Kluyveromyces lactis: one gene and its partners. The protein of the gene in region 3 interacts with the protein of the main gene of each other region in a pairwise test. Links are inferred from orthologs where the notes say so. Each region holds a gene or a part of one and is shown on either strand. Other genes may lie near its edges.

The links.
Region 1: the proteins of PRP19 (region 3) and ISY1 interact in binary tests that used the Saccharomyces cerevisiae proteins (3 or more experiments, as listed by UniProt). The link is inferred for Kluyveromyces lactis from reciprocal best matches to the Saccharomyces cerevisiae genes PRP19 and ISY1.
Region 2: the proteins of PRP19 (region 3) and SYF2 interact in binary tests that used the Saccharomyces cerevisiae proteins (3 or more experiments, as listed by UniProt). The link is inferred for Kluyveromyces lactis from reciprocal best matches to the Saccharomyces cerevisiae genes PRP19 and SYF2.
Region 4: the proteins of PRP19 (region 3) and URN1 interact in binary tests that used the Saccharomyces cerevisiae proteins (3 or more experiments, as listed by UniProt). The link is inferred for Kluyveromyces lactis from reciprocal best matches to the Saccharomyces cerevisiae genes PRP19 and URN1.
Region 5: the proteins of PRP19 (region 3) and CDC40 interact in binary tests that used the Saccharomyces cerevisiae proteins (3 or more experiments, as listed by UniProt). The link is inferred for Kluyveromyces lactis from reciprocal best matches to the Saccharomyces cerevisiae genes PRP19 and CDC40.
Region 6: the proteins of PRP19 (region 3) and SYF1 interact in binary tests that used the Saccharomyces cerevisiae proteins (3 or more experiments, as listed by UniProt). The link is inferred for Kluyveromyces lactis from reciprocal best matches to the Saccharomyces cerevisiae genes PRP19 and SYF1.
Region 7: the proteins of PRP19 (region 3) and CLF1 interact in binary tests that used the Saccharomyces cerevisiae proteins (3 or more experiments, as listed by UniProt). The link is inferred for Kluyveromyces lactis from reciprocal best matches to the Saccharomyces cerevisiae genes PRP19 and CLF1.

Annotation. Positions count from the first base shown.
Region 1 is NC_006042.1:1,550,017-1,552,470, reverse strand, and holds ISY1 (Isy1p), read left to right. Parts: upstream 1-1,234; coding exon 1,235-1,948; downstream 1,949-2,454. Other genes in the region: GDA1 (guanosine diphosphatase), read right to left, coding at 1-893; GTA1 (Gta1p), read right to left, coding at 2,144-2,454. UniProt on the Saccharomyces cerevisiae protein: Involved in pre-mRNA splicing and cell cycle control.
Region 2 is NC_006041.1:412,774-415,250, forward strand, and holds SYF2 (Syf2p), read right to left. Parts: upstream 1,170-2,477; coding exon 504-1,169; downstream 1-503. Other genes in the region: KLLA0_E04621g (uncharacterized protein), read left to right, coding at 1-405; UTP8 (Utp8p), read left to right, coding at 1,410-2,477.
Region 3 is NC_006040.1:327,150-330,360, reverse strand, and holds PRP19 (E3 ubiquitin-protein ligase PRP19), read right to left. Parts: upstream 2,004-3,211; coding exon 528-2,003; downstream 1-527. Other genes in the region: KLLA0_D03905g (glutathione peroxidase), read left to right, coding at 1-233; OCA5 (Oca5p), read right to left, coding at 2,388-3,211. UniProt on the Saccharomyces cerevisiae protein: Probable ubiquitin-protein ligase involved in pre-mRNA splicing.
Region 4 is NC_006041.1:356,293-359,511, reverse strand, and holds URN1 (Urn1p), read right to left. Parts: upstream 1,818-3,219; coding exon 510-1,817; downstream 1-509. Other genes in the region: CCR4-NOT core subunit CAF130, read left to right, coding at 1-517; PRE9 (proteasome core particle subunit alpha 3), read left to right, coding at 2,223-2,972. UniProt on the Saccharomyces cerevisiae protein: Component of the spliceosome involved in mRNA processing.
Region 5 is NC_006041.1:1,891,110-1,894,332, forward strand, and holds CDC40 (Cdc40p), read left to right. Parts: upstream 1-1,414; coding exon 1,415-2,704; downstream 2,705-3,223. Other genes in the region: pre-rRNA-processing protein ESF1, read left to right, coding at 1-1,088; proteasome regulatory particle base subunit RPT5, read right to left, coding at 2,795-3,223. UniProt on the Saccharomyces cerevisiae protein: May function in the second step of pre-mRNA splicing. Regulatory protein involved in replication and mitotic spindle formation and/or maintenance. Required for initiation and completion of S-phase and for initiation and completion of DNA replication.
Region 6 is NC_006037.1:178,055-182,102, reverse strand, and holds SYF1 (mRNA splicing protein SYF1), read left to right. Parts: upstream 1-1,248; coding exon 1,249-3,645; downstream 3,646-4,048. Other genes in the region: VMA8 (H(+)-transporting V1 sector ATPase subunit D), read right to left, coding at 1-829; AFG1 (Afg1p), read right to left, coding at 3,765-4,048. UniProt on the Saccharomyces cerevisiae protein: Involved in pre-mRNA splicing and cell cycle control.
Region 7 is NC_006042.1:1,644,408-1,648,156, reverse strand, and holds CLF1 (Clf1p), read right to left. Parts: upstream 2,566-3,749; coding exon 511-2,565; downstream 1-510. Other genes in the region: mRNA splicing protein MSL5, read left to right, coding at 1-409; NEDD8 family protein RUB1, read right to left, coding at 2,920-3,004, 3,106-3,254; MTQ2 (S-adenosylmethionine-dependent methyltransferase), read left to right, coding at 3,512-3,749. UniProt on the Saccharomyces cerevisiae protein: Involved in pre-mRNA splicing and cell cycle progression. Required for the spliceosome assembly by promoting the functional integration of the U4/U6.U5 tri-snRNP particle into the U1-, U2-dependent pre-spliceosome.

The DNA of each region.
Region 1 (2,454 bases), on a different chromosome or scaffold from region 3:
TGCATCAAACCATATCCCAAATGAGAAAATTGATATAGAGTATAATCATGACCACCGAAACTTAGCTCGTATTTATGTTCACCATCAACCATCTTTTCATTAGGAGGGAAACTTGGCTCGAACACAATTTGAGTAGAACCACCACCAAGATCGAAAACAGCTGCCGTTGGTAATTTAGAACCAGCGCCAATATTACCCAACAGATAGTTTGCAGTGACCCAAGCGTAGACACCTTCTTCCTCACCATCCATAATAGAAACACCATCTCCATCGACCACTGGGAATGGATAATCCTGTTCCAAATGTTTACGAACTTGTGCCAAGATCTTTGAAGATTTTTCATCACCCAACATTCTCAAACCTGCGGTTGCCTTAACTGCAACAGGCGTACAATTTCTCTTATCCTTTGGAACCGCATCCATAGCAATTTTCAATAAAGGATCCAAGGACTTAGCGGCTCCCACAGCATCGATATCGAAACTAGATAGACCAGGCTTCAACATCTCGAAAGTTTCATTAATCAAAGTTGGTGGTTGGGTACAAACGTCAAATTCATACACATGTACACGACTGCCAGTAGAACCGGCATCAATCATAACCACGTACTTATGACCCTCAGTACACTGAGATTTGGAAAGGGAATTGGAACCAGATTCCAAATTCTGGGATGTGTGGTCTTTGGCTGTTTGCTTTTGTGAATCCTCATTGATATTTTGACTGATTGGTGAAGAAGCACCAGGAACTTTTAGCCCATCTGGTGTGTCGACTTTATTGGAGTTCGCCAATGAACCAACTTGTGGAGATGCTGACGACCTTAGCAAAAGAAGCAACATCAAAGCAGTTAAGGCCCCGATGAGGAACCTATAGTTCCTAACCACAGAATTGATGTGCATCTTTTTTTTTGATTTTAGTTATGATTCAGATTATTCTCGCCGTAGAAACCAGCAAATGAACACAGCTATAAACCCTGAATATTTGGAGTGACCAACGAAAGCTTTCTAGTAGATCAGATCGCGTTGCCCACGGAATTTATAGCACTGTTTAATCTGTAACTATCTTGTCGTCTTCTATCTGTATAGATTTCATGTTATTATGTTTTTTTTATGTTGACAGATATTAAGAAAAGATGAAAGGACATGAAATAAAACTACAAGAACCAATCCCAAAGAAGAAAACCAGAGAGTTAAATCGATGATTATACGGGATATCGAGGTAAAGAAAGGGCGAAGTAACGATGAGTCGTAACGTGAATAAAGCGAACTCTGTTCTCGTGCGATACCAGGAGCTACAGGCTGCCGAAACCGGTGGTTATCAGGATTTTTCGCGGTTGAAAAGACCTACCAGGATCAATAAGGTAACGAAGTTGGATGAAGCACTTCGATGGAGAAACGAGCTTGTGAAGGAGATAGGTCAACGTGTGACACAGATTCATGATCCATCGTTAAACGAGTCTCAAATCACGGAAATAAACGATGAACTCAATAAACTATTCCAGGAGAAGGGCAGATGGGATTTCCATATCAGAAATAAGTTAAAGGGTCCAGATTTGAAGAAGAGGAAGCAGTTAAATACCACAGGCGGAACCCTCATAGATGGGAAAAGGTATTTCGGTAGAGCTTTAGAATTACCAGAGGTTCAAAAATTATTGAGGGAATCCAAGGAACAAAGAGAGAAGGAAAGAAGTGGGAAGGAAAAGAAAGCGGAGTTGCAGAGGAAAATCAAACGATGGGAAAGTACATTGAAAGACGACTATTTTGTAGGAAATAACAGTGATGAACTTCTTGAATATGAGAAGAAACGTACTGGCTCACTTCGATCAACTATTCATTCTTCTGATCGGGACCCTTCTTTTGTGATACCAAATTTTGACGTTCCATCCTTAAAAGATGTCGAACTTTGGTTGGTGCAAAGAAGAAAGAATGAGTTAAAGAAGCAACTCGGGTTGTAGTAATCGGAGCTACGAGAAGTTAGGCTTTAGTATATAAGGGGAATGATATTTATCATAGTTGTACTATATACGCTTTTAATGATTGCCTCTCATATCCACAGCATGACGTTTTATTCTATTCTTATGAATGAAAATGATGATACCAACCAAAGATTAGTAAGTTATAATAATATTGTCAACTGGCTGGTTGAAGGTTTAACTAGCCTGTGAGTCATGACTTGGTAATTTAAACAACTGTGTCCCTCTGGCAAACAGTTTAGACATTCGACGAGTTGAACTTTCCTTTGGTCTCTCTGTTGCAGGTTCGCTAGGTATTTCGACAGGCTGGTTAAACACCCACGATTTCTGCTGACTATCAGTTCTCACATGGTTGGAAGAATGTGGTGAAGCAACAGTGCTGTCATTCCAGATGCTGTGGAAGGATGGCGAAAATGCCGTATCAGGCACAGAATGCATGCTTTTAGAAGGAATTACCATCGGTGATGATGCTGGACCATTGTTCAGTG
Region 2 (2,477 bases), on a different chromosome or scaffold from region 3:
TTGCGCGCTAAGGTTCAAGATGCAAGATTGAACTTTGATACTTTACGTCATGAAATTAAATTGAAGCTGCAGGAAAAAGAGGTTGTAGCATCCTCTGAGGAAGCTGAAAAAAAGGTCGCAACTGAAACCCCTGAAACCCCCGAAAAGAAAACCAATGAGGAACCAGTTGATATGGCAAAGACAGAAGAAGATCCTGATTCTAAGCTTTTCGAACGATTAGAAGATCAGTTCGTGTCTGCAACCTCAGAAACTGTGGAATTCTTGGGAGAACTTACAGATAGTTCTGAGATCATTTCTTTGGTTAAGTTGTTCCATAATTTCCAATTGATCCATTACAAGCAATGTGTCAAGAGCTTAGAAGAAGATCTAGAAGTCCTTAACTCACTAGATTCTGAAGACAAATGAAGAAATCCACCTCTATATATCGTTAAAATAAAATAATTATTCATAATCAATCGTAAATATCTCATATGTAAATGCCCAATATACCTATTTTCCCATGCCTATTTGAACTCGCTATTCAATTTTGCATTAAACCGTTTATTCTTGTCATTAATAAATCCATCATCCAAATTGATCTTATTTTGTTTATCTAGTTTTTGTTTCCGTACCATATACCTTTTCTTTGATCGTTCGTTCAAATCATTCACCATTTTTTCTACTAGTTCAGGATTATCTTCTACTTGAACCTTCCCATCCTCAGTTATTCCACCTTTCAACGGATGTGATATATCCTTCGGAAGCGCATCTACTTCCTTCTTGTAGCTGTTCTTTGCTATAGTTTGGAAGTCCCCCATCACGCTTTTATTATGTCTTGAATTCTGTGTCTTAGCTTCCCATTTTTCATATTCGCGTATTGAGTAGTTTGCCAATTTTATCGGATCTTCTGGTTCGCTTTTGTTACTTCTAGCTTTATCTTCGCCATCGTCAGCCATACTGTATACTCTTCTTTCAGAGTTTTTCTTCTCTTCAGCTATTATGGCCTTCTTATTCCTTATACTTACTTCCACTTTTTGTTTCCGCAAACTCTTCAACTTTTTTTCAATTTCCATTAGATCATTCATCTTCGAATATTTATTATCAGCCTGTGTCCAGTTTACAATGTGATTTGTGGCATTCAAATAAGGGCTACACTTTCTGTCACCTGGAAGATATCTGAGTATATTCATCGCATCTCATCTTGTTTCTGTTTGCATTTCGACACTATATATTACCCGGACTGACTCCCAAAAGTAAAGTTTGAAAAATTTGAAGTACTCAGAAGAAGAGATGAGATGCGATGAGATGCGATGAGCTGTAAGTGCAAAGATACACTCAACCGCTGCTCTTGAAAGGACGAGGTGAAGTATCAAATATCCTGTGTTCAATACAGTTTGCTTTGATATTATTTATCGAAAGATATTGAGAAAATGGCATCCATCTCACAGCCTTTTAGGCTCTCTGCTCTACCTAAGATTCCATCATTGAATAATTATGCGAATCAAACAGACTACTTACAAGTTGTTGATAATCTTTCACCATCAGCCAATAAAGTGAATATTGGTATATCAGGTTCCAGTATATCACAATACTTGATTAATCCAACCCCGAAGCTGGTTTTTAACTTGCCAATCCCCTCTACGAACATTGTTACTGCATGTGACGTGGTAGAAGATGCAGCCAATACAGAAGTCTGGTGTTACGGATTGGAAGCTAGAAAGGTATCACATTTACACTTGGCTACTAAGCCGATGATTCAAGATGCCGTGTCATCTTCAAATGCTGAAATCACATCTCAGTTCAAATATAAACTAAAATCTGAAGTCGTTAGCATTAAGATCTATTCTAAAGCAGAGAAAGTTCTCGTTATCTTAAGGAATGGACTGATTCAAACATTTGATTATGAATTGAAACTTTCAAATACTATTGATATATCTTATGATGATATCAGATTTGTTCAATTCTTCCAAGATGGGCAGGGAAACGATTTCTTTTTCGTGTTATGCCAACTAAGTGATGAGAAAATCTGTTACAAACTTTTCCAAGTTAGGAGTGAGTCCGTCTCATGTATTGAACTAAATTCTATCATACTAGAAAATTACACTTTAGAGAATGCAAAGTTGTGTTTTGAGTTCGGGAAATTATATGTTTTAAAGAACTCAAATGAATTATCAATCTATCAGTTACCACATTTGCAACTACAAACTAGCATTCAGCTACCTTTCATTTCCAAGGATGCAGTTGTATCCATCAAACCAGTTTCTTCAAACCGTGTATTGTTGACTGCTGATAATACCATATATCTTGTGGATTTGTTATACAATGCTATACTATTCCAAAAGGATTTACAGAACATCAAAGCTATTCAACTACTCTCTACTGCAGTTGTTCAAGAAAACTCTGAAGACAATAGAAAAACTATAGCATTAGATGTTACAACTAAAAACGGTGCTAACCCTACGAGTTACTTGGATGTTATTAACATTGATGTTGGTACC
Region 3 (3,211 bases):
AAATAATGAAGAAGTGTAAAGTGAATGGTGTCAATGCTCTTCCGCTATATAAGTACTTGAAAGATCAACAACCGCGAATGTTTGGGTTCACGTTCGTTAGATGGAATTTTGAGAAGTTTTTGATCGATCGCTCAGGGAGAGTCCATGGACGGTATTCCACGTTGACGAAACCGAAAAGTATGAAGGAAGACATCGAACAATTACTAAAACAAAAAAGCCAACTACAATCATGACTAGCAGATGGTAAAGAAGAGTTCTTCGGGGTAATCCCTTTTTCATATTCTGTAATGCCATCTTCTTTCCCGTTTATTCACTTGCAAGAAAAACACAAACACAGTTCGATATTTAAAGAGCATGATTTTCACTTCTTTTTACGATGAAATCACGTACATATATGGGGGCGAGTTCATACATGTTCATTTTTCGACGTATTATCGGATCATATATTTAACGACTCTCACCATCAAATCAGTGATTATTCTAATAATTACAATTTTTATACCTTATTTAGGACAAGTATCATATATCTACTTCAACTCATATGTTATGCATTTATTCTCCGAGATGACGTTCAAGAAATATCCTTGATCTATTTTTACCAATGTCATGGATTCTGCTGTATTTGTTTCGATCGGAAGAGTAGATTTTTCGACAAATGACTGTCCCTTAACATACTCATACCATTGTACTTGTGAATTACCCATGCTTACGAAAAAACCTTTAGCTGTATCGTCCAACTCCACACTGATGATATTCTCAGCGAAAGAAAGTGGTTCCATTGCCAAGGTGCCTGGATCCTTTCTTAAATCGTAAACATTCAAGTCAGAATCACCAAAGACAAACATCCAATAACCGTTCAAACCAAAGTCTACTCTTTTAGCTGGGAAGCCAGTTGAAAATTTAATCGGATCTTTTGTAGCAGCCAATAGGTTTATTACATATACACCTTCGTTTTGGTTACCAATAGCAAGAAGAGCTCCATCTTTATGATAATTCACAAATTGAACGGAATCGTTCAATTTAACTTGTGAGATGGTGAACAGTGCTTTTTTGGTAACTTCATACCCATATATTGTACCTCTTTCAGTTACGAATAAGAAGTAAGAATCCGATATTTGATGAGGATAAGCCATAAATATCACTGGCCCATCAGTTCCTTCCAAAACTTCTTCATACAACAAAGACTTTGTATGAAGGTCATACGCTGCTAATAGTCCCTGGGTGAAGGTGTATAGAACGTCTTTAAACTCCACCAGATATTCTGTGGCTTGTGACACATCAAGAATAGAATCTTGAGGTCCAAACACAAAAGCTTTGTCATTATCTTTTACAACAACAGATCTTTCATTAAGATTGACATGCTGATTTCTGCTAATCAAATCAATTTCAGAGAAATCTGTCGATTGAACGACTGAAACGTTGGAGAAGTGTTGTAGCTTTTTCTTAGACTTTTTGGAATTTGTCACGTACTCTTGAGATTTCGTCGATAATTCTGAAGTAAAGTCTGATAGAATTTGGTCTGAGTTCTGGAGTTTATCAATAGTTCCATCATTTTCGACATTCGAGGAAGTTATTGCCGATGTAAGTTCTGCTAATTCTTGCTTCAGCTGATCTCGCTCTACAAAAGCTTTTGCTGCCGCTGATGCAACAGCGTCAAACCTGTAAAGTGTATCACTGAGATTCTTTTTACAAACGTCTAACTGCTTCCTTAATTCGAAATTCTCGAGCATTACTGCATCCCATTCTTTCTGCAAAGTTGACAATAGACTTGGAATGCTATAGTTGTTTGCGATAGTAGACGAGCTCAATGATTCTGAAAGTGATATCTGCTGTGGAGTCGCATTGATTTCAACCAAATCTGTTTTTTGTAATGGATCATCCGTTATGGGATCTGTTCCTTTCTGTTCAATATACTGTTCGATTAGATGCTGTTCAAATATACATTTGGAATTAGGTGAAAGAACAGCTTTTATAGGTGGTTTCCCACTAATTGCACAGAACATAATTAGCGTACCTCAATTTAGCCAGTCCTTAAGTAGTTTCACCAGAAGTAAGCCCCAAGGTTCTCCTTTTTGAAGCCATTATCTAATTATGTATATCGGTGCTTCATCTTTCATGTAACATTTATGTTGGTTTTCTAATGTTAAATAAAAATGCTTTCGTTTCTCTTTTGAACATGCAAAAAAATACTGGATGAAGAAATGACTTTATTTAACAAATCAACTCACATCTTAGTTGGCTGGTTAGAACGCTCCAACAGGTTAGAATACAATCTGCAATATTCATAGAGCTCGAGATGTATATAGTATTTTTATATATATATATGCTAATTAAAGGAAAAGAAGATATACTACATACAAGAAAGACACAAATATAATGCTGATATATCATTCTTCTATGAATTCTTCCATTTCCTGCCAAGCCCAATTTCTCCAGATGTCTCCAGCCTGCTGGTAGATGTCATCAAACGAGTGTGCAGTCTTATCGTCAGTACCGACCTCTATCATCATATGATTTGAAGAACTTGGTCTAATTCCTGAAGCGTTGGATTCATCTGTGTCTGTCGAACTTCCACTAATGTCATCATCCTCGTACATCTTCTTGAAGTTGTAGTCATCGAATTTTGATATCAGTGGGACATTATTTAAGAACTCGGTGATCTCTGTTTCCTCAAACTCTAAAAGTTTAAATTCGTTATGTTGCATAATGGCAACATATATGAAAAGTAACTCCGCATGAGGGTTCAAGAGCGAATATGGAATCTCATTTTCTTGTGTTTCTGTAGTATGACCATCGTCCCCATATTTATTTCTTCGTATCAATTCCCGAATGACATCTTCATCTTGGTTCAATCCATTTTGACCGAGCCTTAACGACATCAAATCTGGGAACCAAAACTCATCATGTTCACATTTGCAAATCTTATGGAAAATCTCTGAACTCAGTTTCAATTCAGGTGGATAAATGCTTTCAAATGATTTATGGTTGTACTCGAGATAATAGTTGATTGATTCAGGACGTGGTCTCCATCCGAGCAACACATCCCATACTCTTCCTCTATCCTGACGATGCAACACTCTGCAACCACAACATTTGATCCACCAATACAACCAAGTAGCCTTCTTGGAACCTTGCAAAGCGCCTTCATCAGTGATGGGTTGATACAGTTCGGGTAACGTCTTGGCGAAAACCTTGAAGAACAATTGCGATT
Region 4 (3,219 bases), on a different chromosome or scaffold from region 3:
GATGCAATGGTCGACGTTTTCTGCTGAAGCATGTTCCATGTATGCTCTTTTGAAATCGAAGGCTTTAGGGAAAGTTCTTGATCTAGGGACCGAGGGGTTAGATGATCGGCCAAATACTGACCCTGATGATCAGCTTTTGCCAGTAGATTTTGATAAATTAAAACTAAGTGACATAGATGACAGATGGGATACGGAGACTGATACAAGCATTGAGAATGGTGATAAGACGTCCATTATGTCTGAAAGGTTCTCCAGAATGCTACCAGTTCAATCTCTTGATGGACAGCCTGTTGACAAAGTTTTCCGTCACCTTCTTCAGAAATATCCTTTGACTGAAGGAACTCCTATTCACGGAAGGATAACTTTGGAGTACCACGATCATATTCTGCCACTGGACATCAGAACGCATCAATCATTGCATAGAGAATTTTTGGCGGTCTTTGATATTGATTACTTAGACATATTAGAAGCTCGGCAGCAAGAAGCAGAGGAAGAGTGTGATGAAATGTCTATTTAGAATACTGATCTCGTAGTATTTCTTTCAGAGCGGCTAGTTTGTCTTTGATACCCAGAATATAGTACATAATTTCATTTTGCATGTAGGAATTTTGAAGATTATCAAGAATAAGTAGCGCGTTCTCCAATTGAAGTAGTTGAGTTTCTAACTTAAAAGAGTCCGACGGTGTCTCTTCTAGCATCAACTGCGATAACTTTTCCGATATCGGAGGAAACCGAAGTTTATTTTTCATCATCTTTTTGAATAATTCAGTGCGCTGTAGGTTATCCATTCTTTTGTAATAGGCGATTACCTTGGAAGCAAACTGTTCTTGTTCTTTCTTGGTAAGAGTTTTATTGATTTCCAGTTCTTTGAAAAGAGATTTATTTTCTTTCTTGATATTAGAGAATAGGGTTTCAGGAGTGATATTCGCTTTTGAAATAATGTGTGCCAAGTAGTGATACTTTGTTGGTTCTAGAGTAACGTCTGAATCTTCTTCATCTGAGTTTTCAGCTGAATCTTGTGCATTATTTTCATTATCATTATTTGAATTATTGAGCTGTTGAGAGCACCACGTTTGAAATAGTTCATCCCGTTTGTCATTAGAAGTAATCAAATAATAGCGTGGATCATGCATTATCCGCTTTGCTTGGATCGACCAAGTTGAGTAAGGATCTAGTTGAATTTCATTAAGTAATTGAATGAACTTAGATTCTATTTCCGTGTTATTCAACGACGGTAGCGTATCCTCTTCTTTAACATCTATAGAAGATGGATCATTCTTTTCTTCTACCTCTGATTCTTCACCAGAATCATCTGATGAGGAAGAGTAACCAGAAACTAAAATATTACTCGATTCGGATTTATCTTCCGTGTCCACGTTAGAATTTGTTACTTGTGGTCTCTCCTCAGTGATATCGTTTTGTTCTTTGTCGTTACTGTCGAGTTTTGCTTGTAAAACATCTCTGATCTCTCCATAAACGTCACGGTCATTTCGAAGATTGAACCCTCGTGCTACACCTATAAGCAATGCAAGAAGAGATGTATCAACTTTATCCAACAAAGCTTTACTCTCATCATCCGCCAGTTTGAATTGGGACACATTAGATTCATCGTTGTGAAAGAATTTGGAACCATCTTTACAAATCACTAGGTTCCAGTAGTTTCGTAGAGGTAAACAGAACACTGGCACTCTCAATTCCTTCATACCAGCTTGCTGGCTTCCGAACTCTTTTGGTTTTTCCTTTGTGGATACCTTGGACCTCGTATTGAAGTAGTAGAAATTCCCCGAAGGATCTTTAAATCGCTTCCATTCGCTCATACTTGATTCAGATAGGAACAATGGGCTCTCCGCCAATTTAGTTAAAACTTTAAAACTTTACTTTCACAGACAGGTGCAGCAATGCAAATAACATCTCTGAGACAGGTCTTCCACCTCGTACACTGGGTTGTTCTCACTAAGAAAATCCATTGAAGAGCCGTTAAACAAAGGTTCGTTCTTTTATTTTTTTTTTAATGTCGACCTTTAAAATGAAATAAAATACAATCAAAGTTAGAAGAAATCCAGTGGCAAACCTTTGAAACTAGAGATTGAACAGCAATTGGATTCAACCAGATAGTTAAACTTGTAGCTAAAGTTCATCGAAAGTAGCAGCAAGAGCATTTCTGTGAGCGTACAGGTAATTGGTCTGTGAGAATATAAAGAACAACTAAGAAGTCAGAACAGATGGGGTCCAGAAGATACGATTCGAGAACAACCATTTTCTCGCCAGAGGGAAGATTATACCAGGTTGAATACGCTTTAGAATCCATTTCACATGCTGGTACTGCGATTGGTATCATGACTGAACAAGGTATTGTATTAGCAGCTGAAAGAAAAGTGACATCGAAACTATTAGAACAAGATACTTCAAGTGAGAAATTGTACAAGTTGAACGATAATATTACGGTTGCAGTAGCTGGGTTAACTGCAGATGCTGAGATTCTAATAAATACAGCCAGAGTACAGGCTCAGAGCTATTTGAAGACGTATAATGAGGAAATACCTGTTGAAATGTTAGTAAGAAGGTTATCCGATTTGAAGCAAGGGTATACTCAGCATGGTGGTTTGAGACCATTTGGTGTTTCGTTCATTTATGCTGGTTATGATGACAGATACGGGTACCAGTTGTATACCTCGAACCCATCTGGTAACTATTCCGGTTGGAAAGCCATCTCTGTTGGTGCCAACACACAAGCTGCTCAAACTTTACTACAAATGGATTATAAAGACGATATCACTCTGGATGGGGCCATCGAACTAGCCCTAAAGACTCTATCTAAGACTACAGATTCAAGTGTGTTGACCCACGAAAGATTAGAATTCGCTACCATCAGCAAGGATGCCGAGGGGAAGATATACCAGAAGATCTATAAACCAACAGAGATCGCTACACTATTGGAAAAAACCGAAATAGTAAAGAAGGATGATGATTAACGATAACGACAAGTCATCCAACACATGTGTTCAACTACTGGACATTAACTGCCTTTATCCTCACTGCCATATATAAGTACGTATGTGTTTTAGAATGTAATCATCATTCAATCAGTCTACTGTCGAAAACGTCTTTACCTTTACAATTAATTAAAGAATTGAAGCTTTTTGTTGTTAAAATACTATTCGCGCATGCAATGTTGAGAAAAAGGATAAAACAAATTAAAGAAAACTCGTAGCTAGTAAC
Region 5 (3,223 bases), on a different chromosome or scaffold from region 3:
TGGTTTACTGCAGCGACATTAGGACAGCCGAATCAATCTATCAAAACTGTGATGGCACAGAATATGAATCTACAGCCAATGTCTTTGATTTAAGGTATGTGCCTGATGGTATGGAAATGGATGATGATCCTCGTGATGAATGTACCTCGCTTCCAAAAAATTACAAGCCGGCACAATTCAGTACAGATGCCCTTCAGCATTCCAAGGTAAAGCTTACATGGGATGAAACTCCTGCAGACCGTGTGGAAATATCTAAAAGAGCATTCACTCAAAAAGAAATTGAAGAAATGGACTTTAAAGCTTATTTAGCCTCCGATAGTGAAGAATCTGAAGTTGAGCATGATGATCAAGTTAAAAATAAACTCAAGGCTTTAGTAATGGATTCCGTAAAAGTGGGGCAAAAGTCACTATTTGATCAAAAGGAAGATGAAGACGATAATGAGGCTGATATGGAAATAACTTTCACTCCAGGCCTGGATGAGTCTGGCCAACAAGATACCAATGATAACGAAGAGGAAAGCACCATTGATAAGATTAGACGTAAAGAAAAAGAAAGACGTAAGAAGAGAAAGGACAGAGTCAAGGAGCTTAAGAAGGAATCAGAAGCCAAATTAAAGGAGAACCTTAAGAAGAAGAAAGATACTTCTCACAGCATCGATGACGATAAGAAAAAGGGAGAGTTAGAGCTCTTAATGCTAGATGAAAATGAGGGTGAATCAACAATTAACAACAAGGCACACTTCAACATGAATGAGATTCTCAAATCTGAGAAGGAAAAATCCAAAAAGGCCAAGTATCAAAACAAGGAGAAGATTGTGGATGATGAATTCACTCCAGACGTTAATGATCCAAGATTTAAAGAGGTCTTTGAAGATCACGATTTCGCGATTGATCCTACTCAACCAGAGTTCAAGAAGACACCAGCTATGGAGAAGATTTTAAAGGAACGTACAGTACGTTCAAGCAAAAAATCTAGGGGCAAAAAGCGTAACCACGAAATTGCAAATACTGAACATAGTAAAGACATAAATAAGATCGGCGGTTTAGTTGAAAAACTTAAGGCCAAGAACAAAAGAACAAAACACTAATTTGCAAACTTGTGGACACTTTATATCAACCCAAAGACGTCCACATCTTATATGTATATATTCAGCATTTGATTAAAGCATAAATACATCATTTCACTTAATCATGCGACTGTATCATGGCATGGTCTGTAACTTTAAGTCATTTCCTTATTTATCCAGATTTGTACGTCATATTCTGTGTGTGAACAAAAAGAAAAAGTGCACATTATCACATTATATGAAATAGGTTCATCTTTCTAAAGATTATCTAAAATTGTAGGTAATACACGGACAAACCGATAAACTTACTAGATAGACTCTGCCACTGCCATAATATCCAGGGAATAATGGGGCTGGTACAGGGTTATGAAAGTGAGAGTAGTGATGATGGCTCATCTGTAGCTGTGCCTAAGAGATCGTTAAAAACATCAAAGGCTGAATTGAAGTCCAAAAGACTTAGGAGGAACGGGAAAGGACCATGGGCAAAATGGCAAGGATCTAGTGACGATGAGATCGAACAATTATCAAAGGATTCAAATGCTTCTAATTCCTTAGATTTAGGTGGTGATGAGGATGCAGTGGCATCACAATCACTTGAAAGAACGAAATTTGTAGGCAGTACTGAAAAAGACTATCTGGGAAGATGCATTTTACACCCCCCAGTAGATATTCCATTAGAATTCAAGAAAGAACCACTATCATTCAGGTGCTTCCTTCCGAAAACCAAGATAGCAGAATACTATGGGCATAAGAATGGTACTACATCATTACGATTCATACCGAAAACAGGACATCTCTTACTTTCAGGCGGTAACGACAACATAATAAAACTATGGGACTTTTATCATGAGAGAGAACTATTAAGAACGTATGAAGGTCACTCTATGACTATAAAGGATTTGAACTTTACAGATAATGGACATTCTTTTGCCAGTGCATCATTTGATAAATGGGTTAAGATCTGGAACACCGAAAAAGGTATAATTGATAAAAGATTGCGTTTCAACTCTGTACCGAACTGTATTACATTCCACCCAAAAGACAAGAACCAACTAGTGGTAGGATTATCCAACTCCGAAATACGGCACTATGACTTGAGGCTATCAGAAAACCATGGGGAAGTACAGAAATATGATCATCATCAGGGTTCTATTTTGGCACTAAAGTACTTCCCTGATGGTAAGAAGTTAATCTCGTCGTCAGAAGATAAAACGGTCAGAATTTGGGAGAACCGAATCAATATTCCTATTAAACAAATCAGTGGCACAGCACAACATTCTATGCCATGGATCGATATTAATCCACAGGGTCAGTCTTTCTGTACACAAAGTATGGACAACACCATCTATACGTACTCAATGTTACCAAAGTATAAAAGACACCCAAACAAGACATTCAAAGGTCATAATACTACAGGTTATGGTATTCATTTTGCATTTTCTCCTGATGGCCAATACATTGCATCTGGAGACTCTAAAGGTCAGACGTTCATCTGGGATTGGAAAACTACCAAATTGTTAAAGAAATTTAAGCCATTTTCAAATAACCTGCCAGTAACCTGTATTGAATGGAATCCTCAAGAGACAAGTAAGTTATGTTGCGCTGGTAATACCGGAAAAATTGCCATTCTGGACTAATGAAGAATTGAGATTCTTTGAGACATTATTCTTGGTTTCGGCACAACCTTCGATAAGGTTATGTAGATATACTTAATGATTACATATAAATCATGCATAAAAGGAAACGGATTTAGACTTTCTTGCCTGTACTTCACCGATAGCCTCAACGAAATCTTCGTGCTTGATTGTTGATTGAGCGTTTCTTAATGCGATCATACCAGCTTCGACACTAACGGCTTTCAATTGAGCACCATTGAATTCATCTGTAGATCTAGCGAGTTCTTGCCAATTGATAGAATCATCAGTTGTCATTTTTCTGGAATGAATCTGTAGAATTTGAGCTCTTGCATCTTCTGTAGGGAGTGGGAATTCTATTTTTCTATCAAGTCTACCAGATCTTAATAAGGCCGGATCTAGAACATCAACACGATTGGTAGCAGCCAACACCTTAACCCGATCATCAGAGCCAAATCCATCCAATTGATTTAGCAACTCTAACATTGTTCTTTGTACTTCTCTATCACCAGATTTTTCGGA
Region 6 (4,048 bases), on a different chromosome or scaffold from region 3:
AAAAGATGACATCTTCCTCTTGTTCGGTAATCAGAGCTTCTACTTGTGGGCCAGATTGTTCTTCTTGTTCTTGTGTGTCGGCAGCTTCTACGCCAGTTTTGGTCGCTTCTTGAGAATCTGGTTTACCTTCAGACTCAGCATTTGCTTCATCTAATTTCTTCTGCTTCATTTCAGCATCCAACTGAGCAGTTTGAATCTGTTTCTTTTCTTGCACTTTCTTCAATCTATAAAACTCTTCTCTATCCAATTCGTCTAGCTCGGAGTTGATATAAGCAATGGTGTTTTCCGTTCTTGGAATGATCACATGTTCAATGGCATTCACTCTACGGTTGGTAACTTTGATAACTTCGTCCAAGATAATGAAAGCCGTTTGTAACGAAGCCAATTCAACTAGTGTTTCAACAGCCCTTGAGTAAATTTCCTTAGCACGCTGAACTTGTTGACCACCACGACCTAGACCTGTCATTTTGAAGTCGTTGATGTTGGAGTCGATGAATGATTCAAATTGAGGCAAGTACACACCACTCACGTTTTCTTGCGTGGCCCTAACTTTGAATCTTGCATTGGCAACATTCTCTTGAACTTGGTACCCTATATTTTCACCTGTAGCATATGTGACCTCCGCCAAAGAGAACGCAGCTGTTTGCATCACTCTGCCCATCTTCTGCTTTGAATCATCTATTCTTTTAGTGATATCACGGAATCTCTTCGTTAATGCTTCAGACTTTCTCTTCAACAAAGAATAACCCTGATTAGCACCCTTTAACTTAGTCTTCATAAGACCCAAGGTCATACGAGTGGGGAAAACCTGTTCCCTATTACTAGACATTTTTCGATAAAATTCAAGATGCTAGGAGTGAAGTCGTTCCTTCCTTGCTGTAATATGTTATCAGTACGCTTAGTACCAAACTCACCTGATTGGTACAGTAGAAAAACAGTTCTTTTCAAAGAAAAAGCAAACGATTACAAGTAAATGTGTTCCAGGTTGGATACTTGTCAGTGCCAGCCTAATTGCAACGTTCTGCCCCAGCTGATATATGCCCCCCTTTTCTACCTTTCTTTCGTCAAATGATTGAATGTCTTATATTTCAGATATTTTGAAAATTGGTTAATTTCGAAATTTAGATATTATTTCATTTACGGTGATATGTCAAAACGTTTAATGAGATGAGTTACAATTAAAGCTCCATCTAAGGTAAAGTTAGTGCACTGTTTTTCCACCAGGTACTGCGAGAGACATATGTTTCGATGGAAATAGATAAATTTGTCAAGGAGGAAGATATTCCGTTTGAGTATGGTGTTGTTAGAGAAAGAGACAATGCTGTATCATGGTCGAGATATTTGGCAACTAAAAGATCAGCAGGCGATGAGTTGAATTTAGATTGGCTATACGAACGTTGTTTGAAGGAGATCAAGGACGACTGGCATCTATGGAAAGAGTTCTTGAAATGGAGGATAGAATTATTGAACGATTGTGATATTTTCAGGCACAAAGATGAATACAATAAGATATCGTTACTATTCGAACAGTGCTTAACATCATGTGGCAAAGTTGGGGATGCATGGATTATGTATATGGAATGGGTAATACAGTTTAAGGATTTGAAGAGGATTAGAGAACTGCTTGGAAAAGCGCTACGATCAATGTCGTGGGAGTACCATGAAGCAATATGGCGTGTTGTCATCGATTTCATTATCAATGAATTGTTAATAGACAACAAGAGGTATGAACTTTCTTTAGAGGATTCCATCTACTATTTTGTTCACGGAGAGCATTCGACGAATTTTGATACAGACCTCTGGTCTTCCTCAATCCTACAGAGATATTCACTTATTTGTGACGACATAGAGCCTTTATTGATCTACATTTTTAAGACTCATGATTGGAGCACGATCGTTCGAGTATTTGAAAAACATCTATCACCTAATTTAAAGCCATCTCAGACAAGTTTATTTGAACTTTACGTTAGTTACATCACTTCAATGATTCTTGTGGATAATTCAGCAGGGGTTGCTGCGGTAGTGGACCAATGTATCGAATTATTCCCTTTCAAGAAGGGTGAACTTAAGACATATTTGATATTTAACCTGATACGTCAAGGAAAAATAACGGAAGCTGAGCTGTACTTAGAGAAAGTTATAAGCGAAACTAAAGACATTATCGAATTTTCTGTATTATATGATTTTTGGATTCGTATGGAGGAGCTATTGACCCAAGAATTAATTCAAAAGATGAAAGACGATAATTCAGAAAAGCAACGGCTGTTCGCAAATATAAGACTACATGCCGACACTCTAACCTCATTAATAAAAAACCACACTATTAGATTAAACGACTTAGAATTGAGGCGAGAACCCAACAACATCAAATTGTGGCTAGAACGAGTGAAGCTTTTTGATACCATCTCTGATAAAGCTAAAGTTTATGCAGATGCTGTTCTTACCGTGGACTATAGACTTCAGACTACTCCAGGGCTATTAGGAGAATTATGGTGTCAATATTGCAGACTTTTTGAAGAGGATATTGAAAAATCCGAGGTCTTGCTGGACAAAGCCACTAACGTCCCTTTCAAATTTTTAGTAGATCTTGAAAATGTTTGGTTATATTGGTGTGAATACAGACTAAAAAGAAGCATTGACGATGCCATAAAAGTTTTGTCCGTTGTATTAGAAATACCAGATAATCATGAATTACTCCTACAAAAATTTGAGAAAGGAGAATCGCCAGCACAAGCAGCAATTTTCTCATCTAAACGCTTATGGGCAATGTACCTTGACTTATTGGAGGTCAAAGGAAACTATGGTACAGCTGTAAATGCGTATGAAACAGCAATACTCATCAAGGCAGCAACACCAGCCATGTTTATTAATTATGCGTTATTAAATGAATCTTCTGGCCATCAAGCAGAAGCTTTGGCTGTTTTCGAAAGGAGTGTTGAGATTTTTCCTCCAAGCGTATCGAAGTCTATTTGGGATATATATCTGGATGTGGCACTCAAAGCTGATATCACTAAAGAGCAAAAAAGAGATATTTTTGAATCTGCTATTAAGCTTGCAGCTTCAGGAGTGGCATGTGTTTCGTTCTTTGAAAAGTACAGCGACTTTGAGTTAAACCTTGGTTTCCACGAGAGAAGTGTCGAGATTTTGCACAAAGGAGCCAAGAATATTTCGGATCTTGAAAGTAAATGTACTTTATGGGAAGAATGCATCAATAGAAGTGAAAAACAATTGGACGTCAATCACACCAGAAAACTATATGAAGAATGTATAGAAACATTGCCCAATTCTAAAGCAATCAAGTTTCTACTTCCATTTGCTATCTTAGAAGAATCGCGTAATGAGGTTGCTCGTTGTAGAGCATTGTTAGACTACGGGAGCAAATTACTGAAGCCCGCACAGAATGAAGAACTTTGGGATTTCTGGAGGAATTTCGAAACTATGCACGGTACAAAAGACTCGTTCAAGAACATGCTAAAAGCACGTAGGTTCCTAGAGGACACAATGAAAGTAAATACAGAGGAAGTATCCAGACATGCAGATAGCATCGAATTTAGGGCGTCAACTGCGAAAATTAGTGGAAGCGGACCACCAAGCGCAGAAGATAAAGGATACTCAAATACGGCTGAAATTGATTTAGGTCTATAAAATGGATATATATTGATTAAAGTTGATAATGGCATATCGATCAATCTCTTATGTTTTGTTTTGGAAGATGTCGTATTGTCTTTCTTTGATGACGTGTAACATACAAAAACACTAGTATCTTACTGTTTTTCGACCCAATCAGTTGAACTCATGTGGGATAATCTACTTAGGGCTCTTGCAAATGCAAACCGTTCTTCATCTAATGCGAAAATCTGTGCTTTTTTGGCAATATCCTTAGAAAATCCGTGTTTACTGACCAATTCATCCTCTACTTCAGGTTCATCTTCATGTTTCATTTGATCTGCTGGTTTAAGCTCATAGTCGTTGACAATATCTTCTGGTTCCACGAATAGTGAGGTGAAGTCATCTGCACCAGTGGTAGCTAATTTACCACCGTTATCGT
Region 7 (3,749 bases), on a different chromosome or scaffold from region 3:
CAGATCCGAATCTCTGGCTGCAGAAAATTCAACGTCTGGAATAGGTATCACTGAAGGAAACTTAAATATTGCTACTCCAGGAATGGCACCCCCAGGTTTATCTCCTCCCGGAATGGCAGCACCAGGAATGGCAGCACCAGGAATGGCAGCACCAGGATTGGCAGCACCAGGATTGGCAGCACCAGGATTGGCAGCACCAGGATTGGCAGCACCAGGATTGGCAGCACCAGGATTGGCAGCACCAGGATTGGCAGCAGCACCAGGCAACGTTCCTCCAGGATTAATGCCCCCAGGATCTGTACCGACAATGAATGCACCTGGGCTTACCCCTTCTACGATATCAACACCCAGTTCGATACCGTCAAACCAGTTGCCACAAAGTTTTACCGATAATGAAACGAATAATTAATACAATTCGTATTTTTTCTCAATAGCCTATATGCCAACCTGATTAAATGCGTGTTCTAAATCTACAATTGTATTATCTGTATATGAATATAAAGTTACATATCAGCTGGAATTTTTCTCCCATTGTTTTGCCAAAGCTAGAAGATTTCGAGCAATAGGAGGTTGAGCAACACGATCGTCCGGAAAATCCAATTTATATGACTCTTGCTCAATGTTATCGATAGTAACTTTTTCCCTAACCAAACTTGGTTGTCTAGCATTGACCTTTTCCAAAGTTTCTTGATTACCATGAACTTTCTCATACTCCAGGAGAGATTGTAAAACTTGCTGGCGTTTCTTATCTTCATTATGTTCTTTGAAATATGAAATTGCCTTCTCAAAAATAGCCCTGGTGTGATGCTTATTCTCAGGTGTAATTTCAAAACTGAACTCCTCTTCGCCATCGTCGTCAAAATTCCCGTCTTGATGAGATTGTTGATAGGCTATTAGTTGGGTCTCAGTTGGAATAGTGCTCTCGAAAAGCGCCTGGTTTATCCATATGTTCACGTCATATCTACTCAAAATCAAATACTTCTCGTACAACTCTCTAGCCTTTTCATATTCTGCTGCATCAGTTTCAAAAGCGATATAGCGCTGAATGACAATCAGCTGGTCCGATTCAGATAATCCAACATTATTGCTCATGGAGATATCATAGATCCCTCTTGATCTATCTTCATCTCCTAAATTTTCTTCTAATTCTGCATAATCCAACCATGATTGCACTGAACTAGGATTGAAATCGATGTATTTCTCGTATAGCTTTCTCACTCTATCAAACTCTTTTAGCCTTATCTCCAAATTGATGTAATATTTAAACACTTTTGGCTTGGGGGACTTTCCTAAGCTCACACCCAGAATTTTTCTTGCTTTCAGCAAGTTGTTCTGCCTAATTTCGAATTCTGCATACATTATCCACAGTTTACCGAATGTAAACTTCTTATGTGGAATGATGTCGAGGATGTCTTGATAAACCGAGCGTATCGTAGGCAAATCATTAATGGTGAGCTCTAGATAGACCAAGTATCGTACGCAGATTCTTATGTACCTCTTCCAGCTCGAATCCTTTACCAGGGACTTCGGCTTTGCCAATTCAATGAACGACTGGAAAGCTGATGTCAATTGCTCTTGATATTTTTCCTCAACCAGGTCAATATAGACCCACCAAGTAGAATAATGATAGGGATCTGATTTTAGATATTGCTCGTACTCGGCTTTCCTTTTAGCGATTACTATGTCCTCCATATTTTTCGAAGAGCCGAACTTCTTCTCGAACTGAATCTGCTGTTCCTTTAATGCTTCAGAAATTGGCCATCTTTCAACTGCTAGTCGGTATAACGTTCTAGATCGTTCATACTCTCCCTGAGAAGCTTCCCAGGAAGCGAAGCTACCAATAACTCGTTCAATATCTACCAGTGGTGTTCCGCTGAAACTTGTGAGTGTGTCTAGCGCGAATGAGAACACTGTTCGTACGGATGATATATCTCCATGAGTTTGTTCAAAACGAACCCATTTCAACCAGGTATCTATTTGAGGATGGACTAGAACAAACTTCGAGTAAATGTTCCTGACATTTTCAAAATTCAAGCACCTTGTTTCGAACTCGATGAAGGAGTCCCATGCATCGGGACCAGGTTCAAATGAACACCATCTTGTATAAATGCCTCGTACAATACCCTGATTTCCCAAAGATTCTTCCAATAAAAGATATTTGAACCAGAGCTTATCAACACGAGGAAGAGCGTTTGTTGCTCTGTCTAACAAGTTCCTTGCATGGTTGATATTTTTCCATTTGATTTCACTGTCGATGTATTGAATCCATAGTGGAATAAACCCATGATCAACAAGAAGAGCGCGTTCATAAATGGACCTAGCTCTTCGTATATCTTTCTGATCAAATTCAAATTGAGCATACCTCATCCATTGACGAAGGTCTAACCTATTTCTTTTCAAAACTGTCTCATACTCTGTTCTTTTCCTTCGTTGCCAGTCTTTCAGTTCTTCCAAATCTAATATATCTGCCTTCGTAGTAGCTGCAATCTGCTTCTTTTGGCTAAAGGCATCCTTCAAAATATTATCGGCAGTGATGGCTTCATTGGATAAACTATTGTCACCCATGTTACAGTATAGTCAGGTAAGTTATCCGTGTTTTTCTTACTTTTGTTTGCATCGTTGTCGTTAAGTTCATCTGTTTCTACAATTATAATGTTCGCACTAAATTTGATATCTGAATCATTATGTATTTATAAGGTTCATTCATGCATACAAGGAAAAGCAACAAGCATGTGTTACATCCTTCCTTTGTTTGATAATTGGACGGTCGTGTAAATGTAAATTATGTCATTCATAGTGTTAGCTTCCAATAATTATAGTCGTTTTATTAAATGCAGAGTAATTCCTCCAGGTATTTATCTGCAAAATACTTATACACATACGTATCTTGAGGTTTCGCAATGCAATGACACATGGCTCTCAACAACCGCCTCTTAAAGTTAGAACAAGATGTAAAAGAGATCCATCTTGCAAGTCGGCACTGCCGATTGTTGCGTTATCATCTCTGATTTAAAGATAGCATTACTTACTAGTTAGTAAAAGAGTCCCTACATTAATTTGATATCAAACTCTTCTCAGTTCTGAATTATCAGTTAATTAACATACATTTGTTTGCCCTGGAAGATCAACTTCTGCTGTGATGGTGGAATACCCTCTTTTTCTTCTAATAGCTCTTTGATATGATAGACCGTTTCTGAACTTTGAACATCTACGGAGATTTCCTTCCCTGTTAATGTCTTGACCTTTAATTGCATCTTTCTCAACCACAAACAAGCAACTGATTGTCGATTCTCTGAAAATGGTGATTAATAGTTGTATCAAACAGTAGACTAGTTGTTAAGCTTCAATTTAATTACTTTCTTTTAGATGACCTTTTGCATACGTTATTGTTCAATATCAACTTTTCAAATACAATATTATATATGCGATGACTTCCATGTTTGAAAAGATACAGGTGCAGAACAGATATTGATGCGAGCTATAGCTCATCAGGGCTTAGGATAACAGGGCGATGCTAGCTACACCATACGTCTCTTATGATTATAATAAAGTATACGAGCCAAGCGAGGACTCTTTTCTTTTATTAGATGCATTAGAAGCTGATCTGAGTTGGTTGAATAACAGGTTCAATGACGCAGTACCATTGACTATAGAAATTGGTTCTGGTTCTGGGATAGTCTCTACGTTTCTTATGCAAAATGGTATACCAAACGCCAATGGACTTTATTTGGCAACTGATTTGAACCCTT